Linked DNA regions of Mus musculus. The protein of the gene in region 2 interacts with the protein of the main gene of each other region in a biochemical or structural test. Links are inferred from orthologs where the notes say so. Each region holds a gene or a part of one and is shown on either strand. Other genes may lie near its edges.

Region 1 (3,647 bases), on a different chromosome or scaffold from region 2:
TCCTCCTCCCGGGCAGCATTCAAAGCCTCTTCCAGCTGCTGTTTCTCTACCTGGGAGGCGGGAGAGGAGGAAGGCTGGGCTGAGAGAAAGGAAAACTCAGGCTGAAGCATTGGAGATAGGAAGATGAAAAAGGTAATGTTGGGTGTGGTGACACACATCTCTAGTCCTAGAACTTGTGAGGCTGACACAGGCCGACCTCACTGGTCTGCATAGTGAGTTCCAGGCCAGGAGGGATTACATAGTCAGATCTTGCCTAAAAAAAAAAAAAAAAAAAAGTGGACATCCAAACCGACTCAGAAATCAAAGCACTGAACAAGCAAAGGGTGGGAGACAACAATACCAGCGCAGAGTTTGAAACATTCACACCAAATCAGTTCAGAAAACAAACCTAAGCTTAATAGATACATACGGTGAGGGAAAAGGGCAGTGCACATTGGCAGTAAAACTGATGGCCACATACCGAGATGGGAGCACAGTACATGGGGGCGTTCTAAGCTGAGTACCGAGGGGTGGCAGTGCATGAGGGCACACAACTGAGAAAGGAGGAGGGCAGGAGAGAGAGCGGGGAGACCCCAAGGTGGACAAAAGTGTTACCTCCAGCCGATGCACTTTGTCCCGAAGCCGTGCCTCCACCGCTTCCCCACCTTCCGCCAGACCTCGGGCCTCCTTCAACTGCTGCTCCAGACCCAGGATGCGCCTTCGGAATTCGTCATTTTCCTCTTGTGTCTCCCGAAGTGTGGTTTCCACGGTTGCCCGACGCTGCCCCAGCACCATGGCCTCTGTCTCTGATGCCACCTTAGCCTGCGGGCAGTTGGGAGAATCGGCTCAGACCGAGGGGCTCCTATGGGTAAGCATTTACACCCAGGAAAAAGGGGTACCTGAGAACCCACTAAAAGCTCACAGGAGCTAGGGATAGAGGGGTAGCCCTAGCCAGGAACCTTCCTGACAATCTTACCCCTACACAGATGCAGCCACCCTGCCAAATTCTGCTATTCCCCACACACAGGAGCCTCCAGAGCTCCTCAGTACATACCCAGGATAGGTTAAGTTTGCAGGACCTCTGGCTTCTCAGCCCTCCTGACCCCTCAGCCTCCACCTCCTGAGCCCTGGGCCCACTCCCCTTGCCTTGGAAGCCTCTTCACAGTCCTGCCGCAGTTGCTGCAGGGTCTTTTGTAGCTGGAGGTTCTGCTGCTCCAGCTCTCGGCCTCGATCAGCCTCCTCCCTCAGCGCTGCCAGCTGCTTCTCTAACACCTGGTTCTGGTGTCGCCCAGTCACCTCCTGGTTCTGCTGCTCTGCCTGAAGCTCTTTAAGCTCCCCCTGGGTGCGTCGAAGCTCCTAGAAAGGAAAAAAAAAAAAAAACCCAGTGGCGAGACTCTGCTATAATGAGGTTCTGGAAAGTGGAGAAAATAAGACTTCACACATGATGGGAAGAAATATAAATGATAAGGCTGCTTTCGAGAGCAATTGGGAGAATCAAAAAAGCTGAACACAGGCTAATCACATGACAAGGCAATACTATGTTCAAGTAATGTGCCTAAGAAAAGTGGCAATTCTCACAAAAACTTGCTTATAAATGTCACAGCAAGATCAGTCACTGTATGTCAAACCCAGAAGCAATCCACATGTCCTTAAATTTTAATGAATAGAACATCATACATCCGTAAAACTGGATGAAGCCAGGTGTGATGGGACATGTCTATAATCCAACACACAGAAGGCAGAGGCAGGAGGATCAGGTTGTCAAGGCATCTTCAGCTACAGAGCAAGTTCCAGGCACTCCTGGACTACATAAGACCCTATCTCAAAAAACTAAACACACATACATAAACAAAAAGATAAAGATTTTTGATACCACACAGTTGAATCTTGACTACACCAGATGAAAAAAAAATCCATAAATAAAAAGCCATTATTATAGAATTACAATTATTTGAAATATTCAGCTTATGCAAGTCTGGAGATACAAAATTGTCGGGACACATAGGGAAGGACCACCAATGGGCATGGGCGCTTTCTGGGGTTATTAAAACATCGTGTAACTAGAGAATGGTGATGGTTTCACAATACAATGAATATTCTAAAATATACCAACTGTCTGCTTTCAAATGAGAAATTTTAGGCCAAATATGGTGGTGCACTAATCCCAGCACTCAGGAAACAGAGGCAGGCAGATCTCTGTGAGTTCAAAGCCAGCCTGGCCTATCTAGTGAGTCCTTGTCTCAAAAAACTAAAAAATAAAGAGGAATTTTATAGTATAAAACTTTATAAAACATGACTGGCTGCCAAATAAATAAACCAAAACACAAAATTATAGCACAGTAAATAGTAATACATCTTAAACTTCTTTTTAAAGGGCAGTTAAAATATAAATTATGGTTCTCTTTAGTTATAATTTTAACTATAAGTAGCTATTCTACTTAGTTATTAACACTTTTCAAACTTAGCAATAGCCAATAAGACCAAAGGGTCACAGAATATGCAGTGACTATAATGTAGACACTAACAAAATCCCTTACAAAGACAGAGAAACAGAGCCACTGCCTCGTCTGTGTCGGGCTGGGTTCGTCTGCGTCCCTAACCTATATGTTGTTCAAATACTTGATAAATTATACCTCCTACCTGAGGCATAATGATAAATAAGCTTTTCTGGAGGACTGTGTCAAGCTGTGTCATGTCAGCTAATATATTAATAGGTATTTTTAACTTCACAACAACACGTTATATGTCATCCAAAAATAATTAGCTGTGCTCTTTTTTGATTTGGTTTGGTTTGGTGTTTTTGTTTTTGTTTTTGTTTTTGTGGAGAAGTTCTTTTTCCTGGGGGAGGGTTCTTTTTCCTGGGAGTTGAGAAAGGTTCTTTCTATAGAGCCCTGGCTATCCTGGAATTCACTATGTAGACCAGACTTACCTTGAACTCACAGAGATCTACTGCTTCTCCTTCCCAAATGCTAATTAAAGGCATGCAACCACCACACCCGACCTATTAGCTGTGTTCTTATCCTTCATAAACTACAACACCAAGAGTATGAAACTGGGTTTATTTTAACTTTTATGACTTCCTCATAACTCTTTCATGAACTATCATCCATGCATGATGAAAAAAGATTGACTTTTAGGGGAAAAAAAAAGGTGGAAGTGAGACTCTTGGGAGTGTTGTGTCACCAACCCGCCAGCAAAACTGTGACTTGGGATACTGGGAAGATGCACATCACCCACTACACCCCTTGAGCCCCATGTCCAGGCTGTGTGCTTTCCAAATAGCCTTTGGATTACAACTTGGACTCCGCAATTAGGTCAGCGAGCCAAGCGGATACCAGCATCCCAGTCCAGGGATTATATTTCTCAATGTAAATTAATAAACATCCTAAAAAAATTGTTTTTTTATCATATAGTTAATGAATTTCCCCCTCAAAGAGCAGGTTTTGCAGTGCTGACCAAATTAAGGTTCTGAACCTGCAAAAATGACCCTGGAGTTTTACAAATCCACCTATATTCAGCTAAGATGTCTTATAGGAGGTAGCCAGCAGTTTTTGCCTGTACCATAAACTGGCTGTTGACAGCTCTTTTTTATTAGAGAGCTCTATAACCAACAAGGAGAGCAGCCCCGCAAAGCTGTGAACCCAAACCTGAGCTGCTAGGATGAAGCT
Region 2 (4,434 bases):
ATATATATATGAAAGTAGGGGAGGGACTGGAGAGACCGCTCAGTGGGTAAAGAACTTGCCACTCAAACTTCACTTGTGGACAACAGTAACTGTGGGGCAGAGCCCAGACTGTAATCTCACTGGGAATCGAAGACAGGGACCCTCAGAGCAAGCTGGCGAGCTGGACAGGCAAATCAGGAAGCTCTGGGTTCAAGTGAGAGAGAGACATTGCCTCAGGATAGAAGGTAGGAAGCCACCTGATGTCAAGTTCTGGCTTCCACATGCCGGTGCATACAGCGCTCACACCCGCACACACACCACACACACACCCACACACATATACACACACACAACACACACACATACAACATACACACTCACACACCACACACACACACAAACACACACATACACACACATACACACACACACACCAATACACACACATACATACATACACACAACACACACATACCACACACACACATACACACACACATACACACTCACACAAGCACACACATACACACACCACATAAACACACTCACACCACACACACATACACACACACTATACATACCACACACACACATACACTCACTCACACAAACACATACACATACCACACATACACACAACCACACACACACACACACACACACACACACTCACACACAAGGGGGTGGGGTGGGGTGGAGGTGGGGGTAGCAATGAAGACTCATGCAGTAGAGGGGCTTGCAGCCAAGTCTAAGGCTCCCTCCCACCCCAGGACCCATAAGGTAGGAGAAAACACTCATTAGCTAGCCTAGAGTTTGCTAGTAACCATGCTGGCCTGGACCTCACAGAATTCATCCTGCTGTCTTCTGAGCGCTGAGATTAAAGCTGAGTGCCACCAAGCTCTGTTATAAAAAGTAAGTTTTTTAAAGACTTATTTATTTAATGCATATGTGTACACTGTAACTGTCTTCAGACACACCAGAAGAAGGCACCAGATCCTATTTCAGATGGTTGTGAGCTACCATGTGGTTGCTGGGAATTGAACTCCAGGACCTCTGGAAGAGCAGTCAGTGCTAATACCTCTGGGCCATCTCTCCAGCCCTGTAATTTTTTTTTAAGTGCAGTTTCATTACTTAGTACCAAGGCAATGAGGAATTAAGAGATTTCGGGGAATCTATACTTAGTTAATTCATGCGGGCTGAGTCCACTCCCTAGGTGACTCCATTCCATTGCAGTCTAGACAAAAGAAAACCCTCCTGGCTCTTTATCTTCCTTAATGGAAAGCACACAACAGAATCCTGCAGCTAGCCTACCTTGGCCACTTAGTAATGTTGCATCTATTCTGCCTATTACATTCCTAGTCAGGATTCTCAGCCCCCTGAAGAAAACTGAGGGCATTCGGTGCCGTTTAACTTAACATTTAGGAAGGTTAAAATGCTCAATTTCACGTTCCGTATCATTTTAAGGCACATTTCAAGGCCAGAAACAAAAAAACCTGCAGCCTTATATGTTAGCCAAATATCTTCAAATCTCAATAAAGAGCCAATGGCTCTGGGGGCGGAGTGGGTAGGTCCAGTGTGGCTGTACTGTCTGTCCCCATTTTTAAAATAGCATTCAGATTTAAGGCTGAGTAGGAGTCCGACGTGATTCATTCCTTAGCTGGGCACCGCCACTTTTCTTGGGCCAAAGGTTCCCAAAGGTCAAAGTGCAAATAGATCCCAGGGCTAACAGGTCTAGGGTGCGGCCTGAAACCTGGGTTTTCAAGAGGCCCCCAGGCAATGTCCCAGAATCCCTCTCTCCTTACCAGGAAACTGGTCTTTCAAATGAACTAGGAAAGTCGGGAAACTTTTAGAGGCCAGAGGAGCCTCTGAACAGAACCCGCACACCTGCGGACCTGGGAAGGCGCGGTGGACAACTCAGAGACAGTAGCTCAGAAACCCTCTCGCACACTGCAGCAGCCTGGAAAACACCCTTTTCAAGCTCGGAGAATGCTTGGCATTCGGTGGCCTTTTTCCAACATAAAAATCTCCAACTCGGCTTTGACTGAGAGTCCCATAGAAAAGCCACGGAAAGCAGCCCTGGAGAGCTGACAACGCCCTGTGTTGACAACTCGGCTCGTCCTTTATAAAAGAGTCGAAAGACCCCAAATATATATATACACACACACACAAAGTCGAATTAAATGTTTCACAAAGCGACGGGACTGTTTTCCTGTCGGCGGCGGGGGAGGGGGCAGACTCATGGTCACCAGGATCGCCCCCACCTGCACACAGACACCAGCTTTCCCTCGCTCCGCGCCCGTTCAGGTCACCCACCCCTTAGATACCATCGCTGCCAACAGAAACCCAAAGGCCCTCTGAATCTAGCAGAAGAGACGCTCTGCGGGAGCGAAACAATGTCCCCGCCTGGAAGGACAAGGAGGAGCCAGGCACCTGTAGCAGCGGCGTAAACTCAGATCCCGGGTGACCCTAAGTCAACCCCGGTGATGCGAGGCTGCCCAAGGGTGGGAGATGGAAGTACGCACGCAAAAAGCAGTGCTCAAGAAATCACATCCCAAACCCCACGGGGACAACCGGCGTTCACGCACGCTGCCCCGCGGCGAGCCAAGGCTCCAGAGCAATCTTGTACCCCGGGAGGGACAGAGCCGCAGGTACTCGCCTGGAGAAGGGGGGCGGCGGCAGCCAGCAGAGTCAGCGCGCAGAAAGCGACGGTCCCAGGCGTCGGGCGGCGCAGCGCGGGCAGCGCCTGTCCGGAGGCGGAGTGCCGCGGGCTGCCGCAGCAGGCGGGAGCCAGTGACCTCCGCCACCGGCCGTTCCTGGGTATTGTTGTGACTCAACCTATTTCCTGTTTGGAGGGCTAGAAGAAAGGGGGACAAGTGCCTATCTAGAGTGTGTGTGGTTAGGGGGAGGGTAGATGGGCGGTGGCCATCACCTGCTTCCTCCAGACCCGGAAAAAAAAAAAAAAAGTAGCTCGCGCCACTTTGGGTCGTCCTGTTGGCGGAGGGGGAGGCCTCACCGGCGCCACCCAGCGGTGGGGCAGGGATTGAGCGACGCTTCCGCCTCTTTTCTCAGCAAAACCCCCAAGCTTCGGCTCAAGAGTATAAACATTCGCAGGGTTTATCTAATTCGTGCCCAGATCTGCTTTCAGTCTTTCCGCAGGTGCTGGCGAGGAAAGGTCAGTCACCCCTCAGAAACCACGGGAAGGGTGTTTGTGGGTCACTGTATGTATACGGTAGGGGAGTGGAACGGGTTGATTTTTGTTTGGGGAAGAAGAGAAACGGGTAATGGTATCGGTGAAAGATAAGTTTTAAGATCAATTTCAATCCCCCTCCCCCTCCAACCTCCCTGGTTCTCTGGCTCTGAGGCTCCAATCCGGAAATACCGGTTCCTCTCGGGGGACAATAGGTGAGGGCGGAGCACTAAGCCCAGAGCCTGCTTAGTCACACCGCGGGGAAGGAGGAATGTGCCTAGTGCCCAAGGCTGCACCCGGGGCGCAAGTTCGCCTTCCATTTAACCTAGTCTGGTTAAAAAATCCTAGGAAGAAAAAAAGAAAAGAAAAGAAAAAGAAAAAAAAAAAAATAAAAAGAAAAGCTGGATAGTGGTAGCGTATGCCTTTAATCCCAGCCCTTGGGAGGCATAGGTAGACGGATTTCTGAGTTCGAGGCCAGCCTGATCTACAGAGTGAGTTCGAGGATAGCCAGGCTACACAGAGAAACCCTGTCTCAGGGGGGAAAAAAAATCCTAAGAAGATTCCAGGGTACAGGATAAAAGTTGTGGTGATGGCGAGATGGATAGTGGTGATAGTTGTGCGGTGTGAATGCTCGCACTTGCCCACTGCGTTGCAATTTTAAGTATTTTAGTTTGCTTTTTTAAAAATCCTGTAAAGGATGCTGAGGTTCTATTCCAGGCAACTTCGCGCACGAGCGCCCTCTCCTCCCCACAAAACCCTTTCGCCAGGAGTAACTATGTCAACTGAGACACTCTCTCAAGGAAAAAAAAAAAAGAACAAAAACAACAACAACAAAAACAAAACCCCAACAAGAGAAACCAGGAGTGGTAGCACAGATTTGTAATCCCAGAGCTGGGGAGACAGATCCTTGGATTTACCAGCCCCCGAAAAATGAAAGACCCGGTCTTATAAACCAACATGGACAGATCCTGAGGAACAGGTGTTATCAGACCTGCCAATACACACACACACACACACACACACACACACACACACACACGCCCCAGGCAAAGGAAGATCAAACCTGAAGGCTCAGGCTTTAAGAAAGTATCACTTTAAGAAAAATGAGCACAAGCAAACTGTTAAGCAAATAAAAGCATACCAATTGTGCCTCCATTTACTAAGAAAGGAAAAACACCTACCCATGAATTTGCTTTTTCTTTTTTTGAGTTGAGGTCTTAGTTACTATGGCCCTAATGGCCCTTCCATGCAATCCTGCTGGTTCCAAT

The links.
Region 1: the proteins of Tjp2 (region 2) and Cgn form a complex in vitro, tested with the Homo sapiens proteins (2 studies listed by BioGRID and IntAct, with this or other methods). The link is inferred for Mus musculus from reciprocal best matches to the Homo sapiens genes TJP2 and CGN.

The regions. Positions count from the first base shown.
Region 1 is NC_000069.6:94,769,368-94,773,014, forward strand, and holds part of Cgn (cingulin), read right to left. Parts: intron 1,336-3,647; coding exon 1,126-1,335; coding exon of another isoform or gene 1,121-1,125; intron 802-1,120; coding exon 595-801; exon of another isoform or gene 591-594; intron 51-590; coding exon 1-50. UniProt on the Homo sapiens protein: Probably plays a role in the formation and regulation of the tight junction (TJ) paracellular permeability barrier.
Region 2 is NC_000085.6:24,222,216-24,226,649, forward strand, and holds the start of Tjp2 (tight junction protein ZO-2), read right to left. Parts: upstream 2,812-4,434; 5' UTR 2,636-2,811; intron 1-2,635. UniProt on the Homo sapiens protein: Plays a role in tight junctions and adherens junctions. Acts as a positive regulator of RANKL-induced osteoclast differentiation, potentially via mediating downstream transcriptional activity.